2 linked regions of the Xenopus tropicalis genome follow. The protein of the gene in region 2 interacts with the protein of the main gene of each other region in a biochemical or structural test. Links are inferred from orthologs where the notes say so. Each region holds a gene or a part of one and is shown on either strand. Other genes may lie near its edges.

Evidence for each region.
Region 1: the proteins of pbx1 (region 2) and pknox1 form a complex in vitro, tested with the Homo sapiens proteins (2 studies listed by BioGRID). The link is inferred for Xenopus tropicalis from reciprocal best matches to the Homo sapiens genes PBX1 and PKNOX1.

The regions. Positions count from the first base shown.
Region 1 is NC_030678.2:312,449-317,070, forward strand, and holds part of pknox1 (homeobox protein PKNOX1), read right to left. Parts: intron 3,230-4,622; 5' UTR 3,130-3,229; intron 2,585-3,129; exon of another isoform or gene 2,568-2,584; 5' UTR 2,505-2,567; coding exon 2,454-2,504; intron 1,423-2,453; coding exon 1,307-1,422; intron 1,218-1,306; coding exon 1,046-1,217; intron 1-1,045. UniProt on the Homo sapiens protein: Activates transcription in the presence of PBX1A and HOXA1.
Region 2 is NC_030680.2:108,212,080-108,217,184, reverse strand, and holds the start of pbx1 (pre-B-cell leukemia transcription factor 1), read left to right. Parts: upstream 1-1,802; 5' UTR 1,803-2,065; coding exon 2,066-2,256; intron 2,257-5,105. UniProt on the Homo sapiens protein: Transcription factor which binds the DNA sequence 5'-TGATTGAT-3' as part of a heterodimer with HOX proteins such as HOXA1, HOXA5, HOXB7 and HOXB8. Binds to the DNA sequence 5'-TGATTGAC-3' in complex with a nuclear factor which is not a class I HOX protein.

The DNA of each region.
Region 1 (4,622 bases), on a different chromosome or scaffold from region 2:
GAGGCTCAGTAAGCAGGGAGCCCCCTGGGGGAGACCCTCGGTACTGTGCCACTGCCAGCGTCTGTATATGCACTTGGTACCAGCAGCTGTAACTGCATTGCTATAGGCTGGGGGTGCACACAGTAACACAGACACACACAGAGACCCAGTAACACAGAGACACCCAGACACACACAGAGACACCCAGTAACACAGAGACACCCAGACACACACAGAGACACCCAGACACACACAGAGACACCCAGACACACACAGAGACACCCAGACACACACAGAGACACCCAGACACACACAGAGACACCCAGTAACACAGAGACACCCAGTAACACAGAGACACCCAGTAACAGAGACACCCAGTAACACAGAGACACCCAGTAACACAGAGACACCCAGACACACACAGAGACACACAGTAACACAGACACCCAGTAACACAGAGACACCCAGTAACACAGAGACACCCAGTAACACAGAGACACCCAGTAACACAGAGACACACCGTAACACAGAGACACCCAGTAACACAGAGACACCCAGACACACACAAAGACACACAGACACAAACAGAGACACCCAGTAATATAGAGACACCCAGACACAAAGAGACACCCAGTAACACAGAGACACCCAGTAACACAGAGACACACCGTAACACAGAGACACACCGTAACACAGAGACACCCAGTAACACAGAGACACCCAGTAACACAGAGACACCCAGTAACACAGAGACACCCAGTAACACAGAGACACCCAGTAACACAGAGACACCCAGTAACACAGAGACACCCAATAACACAGAGACACCCAGTAACACAGAGACACCCAATAACACAGAGACACCCAGTAACACAGAGACACCCAGTAACACAGAGACACCCAGTAACACAGAGACACACCGTAACACAGAGACACCCAGTAACACAGAGACACCCAGTAACACAGAGACACCCAGTAACACAGAGACACACCGTAACACAGAGACACCCAGTAACACAGAGACACCCAGTAACACAGAGACACCCAGTAACACACAGAGACACACCAGGCTGTCAGTCTCTGGGTCATCGGAGAAGAAATCCTTGCCCTCCTTGTGATGGCGCCTGACGAATGTCTCAATATCCAAGTCAAAGCTGGCGGAGGTTGTGCCTTCGGCCCCCTGTGTGCAGCCTTCACATTTCTCAAAGAGCAGAGCAAGAAGGGGGAAGAGTGGGTGCCTGGGGGGAGAGAATGGGGTCAGTGAGACACACAGCCAGTAGCCAGAGTCGCTAAACACATGACGGGAGGGTGCGTAAGGACCACCCACCTGTATATGGACTGTTTATCCGCCTCCATAGGATTCTCCCCAGACGCAGGGGATGGGTCAGACGGATTGACACACACAGGGTCTTCCTCAGTCTTAAACTGAGTGATGACTTGTAACTAAAAGACATGCAGTGAGGGACAGGGTTACACATATTCTTCCTATAACCACCCACAGGCACCAACACCCCCACCTATTCTTACACAGGCACTCACTTCCACAGCCAGTCGTGGCCCACCCATTTATACACAGGCAGCCATGGCCCACCCATTTATACACAGGCAGCCATGGCCCACCCATTTATACACAGGCAGCCATGGCCCACCCATTTATACACAGGCAGCCATGGCCCACCCATTTATACACAGGCAGCCGTGGCCCACCCATTTATACACAGGCAGCCATGGCCCACCCATTTATACATAGGCAGGCATGGCCCACCCATTTATACACAGGCAGCCATGGCCCACCCATTTATACACAGGCAGCCATGGCCCACCCATTTATACACAGGCAGCCACACCCCATCCATTCATGCACAGGCAGCCATGCCCCCACCCATTTATATACAGGCACCCACACCCCATCCATTCATGCACAGGCAGCCATGGCCCACCCATTTATACACAGGCAGCCATGGCCCACCCATTTATACACAGGCAGCCATGCCCCCACCCATTTATACACAGGCAGCCATGCCCCCACCCATTTATATACAGGCAGCCATGGCCCACCCATTTATACACAGGCAGCCATGCCCCCACCCATTTATACACAGGCAGCCATGCCCCCACCCATTTATATACAGGCAGCCATGGCCCACCCATTTATACACAGGCAGCCATGCCCCCACCCATTTATACACAGGCAGCCATGCCCCCACCCATTTATATACAGGCAGCCATGGCCCACCCATTTATACACAGGCAGCCATGCCCCCACCCATTTATACACAGGCAGCCATGCCCCCACCCATTTATATACAGGCAGCCATGGCCCACCCATTTATACACAGGCAGCCATGGCCCACCCATTTATACACAGGCAGCCATACCAAAACCTTTTATACACAGGCAGCCATGCCCCCACCCATTTATATACAGGCACCCACACCCCATCCATTCATGCACAGGAATTAGGGAGGAAATACCTGCTGTTCCTCTGAGTAATTGTCCATGTCCAGTCTCTCAGCAGACATCATGATGCCCTGCGCCTTGGCCTTTCACATCACGGTGACTGTGGGCCTGGGCTCCTGAGCCAGTATCTGTGTGGGGAAAGAATCTATAGGGCTGTTATTCATGTTCACAATTTACAATGGGGGCAATTAACACCAAGAAACCCATCACACGGCGAGTGAAGCATGCACCTATTGTAACGAGATACCTCGCGGCTCACAGGAGAGGGAATTCATAAAAATGACAAAATAAAATGTTTTGAAGTTGGTTCCCTGCACTAATGCTGAATGTGAGTGGGGCAATAACCAGAAGGGAACGGAGGAGTCAGAGGTAATTGCTGAAATGCCAGACTTGCTGAACAAAAAGTGAAATAATTACAAAAACACAAATAAAAAAAAAAAAGAGAGCTTTAGCTTGGCCTTTATAGGGAAATGGTGACGCCCACACAGAGCGAGCCAATTAGAGCTTCACAACTTCCACAGTAATGAAACAAACATGTAGCCAGTCAGTAGGAAATACAAATGGCTGCAGGAAATAGCCAATCACAGCATTTGAGCTAGAGGGAACAGCCATAGGGCAAGAAGTAACCAATCAAGGTAAAACCAGTAGCACCCCAACTCTATGGGCTCCCCCCTTTCCCAGGAGACTCACGTTTGTGCTTGTGCCGTCACACTCGCCTTGAACCTCTCAGCTTCTCTATCCCCACTGCTCCTGCATGGCTGTGTTCCTCTGCAGAATGGGGCCCTGTAACCTGTACAGGTAAATATAGGCAGAACTGACATTAAAGGCCATGTAAAGCCTACATTTGCCTACAGTGTATATCAGTTGGGCACGTCTCCCCCACCCAAACGGCACCATTAGTACTGCATATATCCCCTCCCCTTGCAGCACCATCACATGTTCCTAAAGCAAATAGCAGCTTTCACCCGGCGGCCATTTTCCCTCTGATACATAATCAAATACATTTAAATCTGCAAACAGCCTACACACACACAGACTCTTATTCAGCGTACATTTCATCAACAATGCAGGCTTACACAGGCACAACTGTCTCTGATAAAAGTTCTGCTTTGTTTGAGCTGAGCTCAGGAGAGGAGGTTAGGAGAAAAAAATTGAAGCAGACAACTAGAACTGAGTTTCTATGGTAACCAGCAAATGCCATCTCATCATTGGCTGCTAGGCTGGGGGGGGTGTTTAGTAATCTGAGCTTAGAACAACTGAGCATGCCCACAAGCCAGAAGTCATAGCAAATTCCTGAGGGGGGGGCGAGTGGGTTACAGGAAGAGAAGGAAATCTAAGTGATTAAGGGGATGTTGCAGCCTTTCTATTAACCTCTGGGCACCCAGTGGGGCAGGTATTGAAAGATTTCAAGGAGGCTTTTCACTGTTAAAATATTTGTGTGTGGGGGGTTTACATGTTCTTTAAACTCCACCCTCTATTGTACATTGGGGGGGGGAGAACTCTCTGTCCCATCCCTGAGACCCCTCAGGCTGAACCCGAGTTTCTCCCAAAAGGAAAGTAAAGAACATTCTATGACTGGGTTTCTCATGGTCAAAGGACCCACTGTGTGTCCTAAAATAATAGTTGATCCCTACTCAGCAGGTCCGGTTACCTTAGGCCTATCCCTACTCAGCGGGTTTGGTTACCTTAGGCCTATCCCTACTCAGCAGGTCCGGTTACCTTAGGCCTATCCCTACTCAGCGGGTCCGGTTACCTTAGGCCTATCCCTACTCAGCAGGCCCGGTTACCTTAGGCCTATCCCTACTCAGCAGGTCCGGTTACCTTAGGCCTATCCCTACTCAGCGGGTCCGGTTACCTTATGCCTATACCTACTCAGCAGGCCCGGTTACCTTAGGCCTATCCCTACTCAGCGGGTCCGGTTACCTTAGGCCTATCCCTACTCAGCGGGTCCGGTTACCTTAGGCCTATCCCTACTCAGCAGGCCCGGTTACCTTAGGCCTATCCCTACTCAGCAGGTCCGGTTACCTTAGGCCTATCCCTACTCAGCGGGTCCGGTTACCTTATGCCTATACCTACTCAGCAGGCCCGGTTACCTTAGGCCTATCAATACTCAGCAGGTCCGGTTACCTTAGGCCTATCCCTACTCAGCAGGTCCGGTTACCTTAGGCCTATCCCTACTCAGC
Region 2 (5,105 bases):
AAGCCTATCGCCCCAAATACTTGACAGCGTTGTTGTAGTATTTTATCCCAACCACATGCAGAAAGACTTTAAACCTGTGACACCTTTGCTCACAGGTAAGCAGCAGTCAAAGTTGGGCAGTAAGGAAATGTATGCTAAGAGTGTTATAATGACAATTACACAAATGCATCACCTCTAAAGTCATGTATTGTAGAATGCTGCAGAATATGTTGGTGCTTTATTAATATGTAATAATAATAAAAATAATATCAGAGCCTGTTAAAGTGCTGTAGATTAGTGTCAGTTTATAGTATTACACATTTTAGGAAATGATGGTATCTGCTGCTTATGGAACTGTTATTGTCACTGATAGTATATCCCTGTGTCTGTATGTATATAATAATTCTACAATTGTTATTCTGTCCAACCAGTGCACCCTTCTTTTGCAACTACAATGAATTCTGGGACTTCAGTTATACTTGTTAACATTCTTTTGGCATATCTTTGTATATTTATCTAAGAATTTATGTGCTTTTAATACCCTAAATAACACTTTCTAGCCAGTGATAACCTATCAACTTCCCCTGACCTAGAGCAGTGTCACACAGTAACCACTTACCTGTTGCTATGTCTGGTTTCTTCAACATGGCAATGACAGTTGTGGCCAACCTGACACTCTCTTGCTAACACTGCACATTCACTCAACTGAAATATAAGTAACTATGCTGTGCAAGATTTTATCACTGCATAAGGACCTAACATTTCAGGGCACATCTACTAAGGGAATTATTGTGAATAAACAAATTACTGGGCCCTTCTAGCTTATGAACTTTCAGGATGATAATAAGGTGCAGCACTCTATACCCCTGAGCCCAAATCAGCTACTGAATCTGTTCTATTGTTATATTCTAGAATCTTTTCTATTGTTCTACCCCGGTTACTGGTTAAAGGGACATTACCTACCAGTTATTAAGTCAGACACCAATAGTTTAAACATAAGACACTGATGATTTTTATACATGATTTTCTTGCTTAGTCAAACAAGACTCACTCATATCTATGTTTAGTTCAAATATAACTATGGTTGTGTCTTTTTATAAACAGTTCTAAATGTACTTATATTTCTACTTATATGTTGCCTTTATTTTTAACTTGTACTTTAGTCTGGGCCCGCTGGGGGGACACTCCCACAGTGTGGGGACCGAAGAGCTTTCACTTACACCAAAACAAGCGAAGACCCAAGTGAACACCAGACCGTTTTATTCCCAATCAATCGCGCTCGGGTTCTCGGCAATACTAAGTTGTACAATAGCAAACAGGCCGATTTAGAGTCTGTAACACCGACTCAACTATTACGTAGGGCCCCTCAATGAATGGGGCCCTCTGCATTTTATTGCGTTGGCAGGCATTCATGAAGCACAAGGGTTAAGGTAAAACGAAAGCAAGTAGGGGGCAAAAGCACTGAAATCCACCCGGGCAGACCCACTAAAGCCTGGCTTTGTCCAGAGGAATTACTCCTTCTAAGATACCCATACACCTCTCCCAGCCTGCGCTAGCGCTTTAAGACCCCGGGGCCACTGCCTTCTCTTTTCTTTCTGCTCTTCTTTTCTCTCTTCCACATTCCCCACCTCTGAACCTTGTTGATTGACAAGAGAAAAGCTAAGGGGGAGGGGAGTGACCTGCCAAACTACCAATCCAAAGCCAAGGGGGGCGGTACATTACCTCCCAGTACGCCAATCGGCGTGACGGAAGGGGGGGCTAAGTCTCCATTCCGCGCTGTGTGCCAGCTCTGGAGAAGAGAGGGATAGACACAGGAGGGGAGGGAGGAAAGCAGAGTCTGAGCCCAAACAAAAGCAGGACACCGAGCTGTGTAGAACTTCCCTGGCCCGGTACAGACCCCACCCTCCCGCGGAACCGCCGTGCCTGGATACTGTACCTTTTCTTCTTGACTAGGACGGATTCCTGGCGCCCTGGGATTAACAGGAGGGAGCCACAACAAAGGCAGGAGAGAGAAGAACAATAAGAGTTCCCTGTGCGCTGCACAACACAGGCACAGGGTGCTGCAGAGCGGGGCTTGCTCCTGGAAATGGATGATCAGCCCAGGTTGATGCACAGCCACCCCGGGGTGGGGATGGCGGGACACCCCAGTCTGTCCCAACACATGCAGGATGGCACAGGAGCCAACGAAGGGGAGGGGGGCAGGAAGCAGGACATTGGGGATATATTACAGCAGATCATGACCATCACTGACCAGAGTCTGGATGAGGCACAGGCCAGGTGAGCTGGATCTTGCAAAGTGCTTCTTTCTCTCTTTTAGCAGCTTTAGGCTGGGACCCTGTGGGCATCAGGATACTATTTGTGAGCTTATACTTGTCATGTCCAGCCTGAGGCCCTCCACTTCTAACTGAGCAACAACTCACAGCATCCGGCTGTCAAGGGATGATGGGAGCTGTAGTTAATTGCTCCAGGGCCTCAGGGTGGACTTGCCTGATTTTTAGAATGGATGTGTGTATGAGGTTGGACCAGCAAACCACTTTTCCCCCATTAGCAAAGTAACTGCTACTGTTTATCAACCTTGTGTTATATGTGAACGTGTATCAGACAACGTGCACCATAGAGCTGACAATCTACCTCTGTACATGGTGCTTTGGTTTATATACTTTTTATTCTTAGTGCTGTATAAGTAATAAGGTTTACTGTGTGCAATCCATTTGCACGACAGTAAGTGTGTACAGTATATACCATGTACATGTGTGCGCTAAACTGTTACCCCTAAGCAGGAGGGTTGCATTGTCTTTCACTTTTCCATTTTTACGGCAACATTTTTAAACTGGTACTGACCCAGTGGGGTTTGAAAAACACCAAATTATGCAAAAAAAAATCTATTTATCAACAGTTTCTATCTAGATCTTTGATGTTTAGCTTGTGACCCTCCAGTTGTTGCTCTGTTATAACTTTCACATCAGCTGTCAAAAGGATTCTGGGAGCAGCAGGGGGGCTGCAGGTTGAACATCCCTGTCCTATATGTATGGTATATTCATTCCTTAGAGGAAAAAGAAACGGGCAGGAAGAAGTTCTCCATCTGTCAGGGAAGCACTAGAGATGTTGAGTTATCCTCTGGGCCTCAAAATACGTTGTACTGGCAGTTCCTGCATTCTAAAGATCTGTTTACAGTTGTTCATTGTGATTCACGCCATATAACTATATACTGCATTCTATAATACAGAGAGGGACTTTTATATGTCATAGGTGGGATAATAACCTCATGTACAGAACTCATGTCCAGGGCACACTCATTTACAAAACACACTGATTTTATGGGGACGGGCAGAGTTTTTGTATATAACATATTTTAATATACATCTCTACACATAATCATTAAAAGCATAGCTTCATTATATAAACTTTTTATGATGTTGGTTAATTAAATAAGAACAGAGGTTCTGTGAATGGGAGTAAACATGGATTTTTCTGCCAAGGAAGATTTTTAGTACATGGGAAATCCAAGCAATATAATTACCTTTGTTTTGTAAATCAGAGATTTAAATACATTACTTATTGCATGGACTACACTCTCCATCTAATAGGGTTGAATGACAGCATTAAATAAGCTTTGTAAGTTAATTGTTTGACACTTTCTTATATAGCTAAACAATATTTCCTTAGTAATGAGAATCAATGTAGAGGGTTTGCAGTGAATTCTCTGTTGTGCATTGAGAATTTATGAATGTTTCTTTTGGTTTCCTTCTACTTTTGCCTTTGTTCAGCATTTCTAAATATTTAAAGAAGGAGGAATCCCACAACACCTTTCTCCTATGGTATAAATTCAACATGTTAACCCCAATCGGGTAAATAGAAAAAAAGCAGGCTTTTCAAGAGAAACGTGCAGTTGGCGGAACTAAATTTGAAATTACAGCACTCCTTCAATTGGATTAAAGGGATTTTGGATGGCATTTATCTAAAATGTGTTGCTGTCGCAGAGAAATATTTCCCCTGTACATGTGCACATTGCATGTATATAATTTCAAGGCACATATACCATTTATAAATATATACATATTTAATATGTGTAAAAAAAAAAAAATATATATGTGCTGAAAACTTGCAGACTAAAATATACAATTGAAATTCTCTCGCAACATTGAAATTACAAAAGGTTGAAGTATGTAACAAAATGTACTTAGTAGTAAGAAGTGTATTTTTGCTTGACTTATACAAAGCAAGAGAGCAGACCTTTCAGAATCTGTTAATTGGACATGTCATGCCCAGCCGTTCCTTTGTCAGCGTATAGAGATTTGCAAAGCTACTATGAATAAACGTAAGTGTGGATCACTCTGCTTCAGTCCATTGTAGCCAAACAGCGATCTTTGCTTATTATCTATAGTATGCACTGTGGACTGACAAAGGCTGGTCAGGCCCCAGTGTGTCGTTTAGATGCCTATCTTCCACTGTGGCAATTTTAGCTCTAGGTATTTTAGTTTTATTGTATTCATCTTGCTGTTTAAATATAAAATAAATCCATATTTGTCTATATTCTGAGAGTTTTTTTGTATTTACATGTTTTTCTAATTTATGTTTTTATATATTTTATTTTTTTCAAGCAATTCGTTTTCCTTATCTGACAGGCAAAATATAGTAGTAATAAAATCTGGTTTGCCTGTTGGAACCCAAGCCCCACATTAATACAATTATAATTCCTTTGTATACTGTACTTGCTGCAGGACAGGCAGAAGTACACATATAATGTAAACTTCAGGCACTACACCTCCCACTTACCCACAACAGCATGTGGATTCTGGGAGATGTAGTTCTGCAACAGCTGGAAGGTCATGTCCCAGTAAAAGACGTCTATACATAAAGTGACAAATGTATGCAAGCCATAGTTTACAATCTTCCTGTATTCCGCTAGAATTGCATTATGGACACTCTTAAAGTATTAACAGCGCCCTGATGTAATTGAAACAGTATTTGATGTAACTAGAAGTATACATACAATGTACTAAATCTAAGTCTAAAGAACACTTGCAAGTCAGTAGCAATATAATTACTGTTTTTTTTTTTGTAGCTTAAATTTTATTTAAGAGAAAAATAAACATAACAGAGCAATATATGTGAGATTAATATAA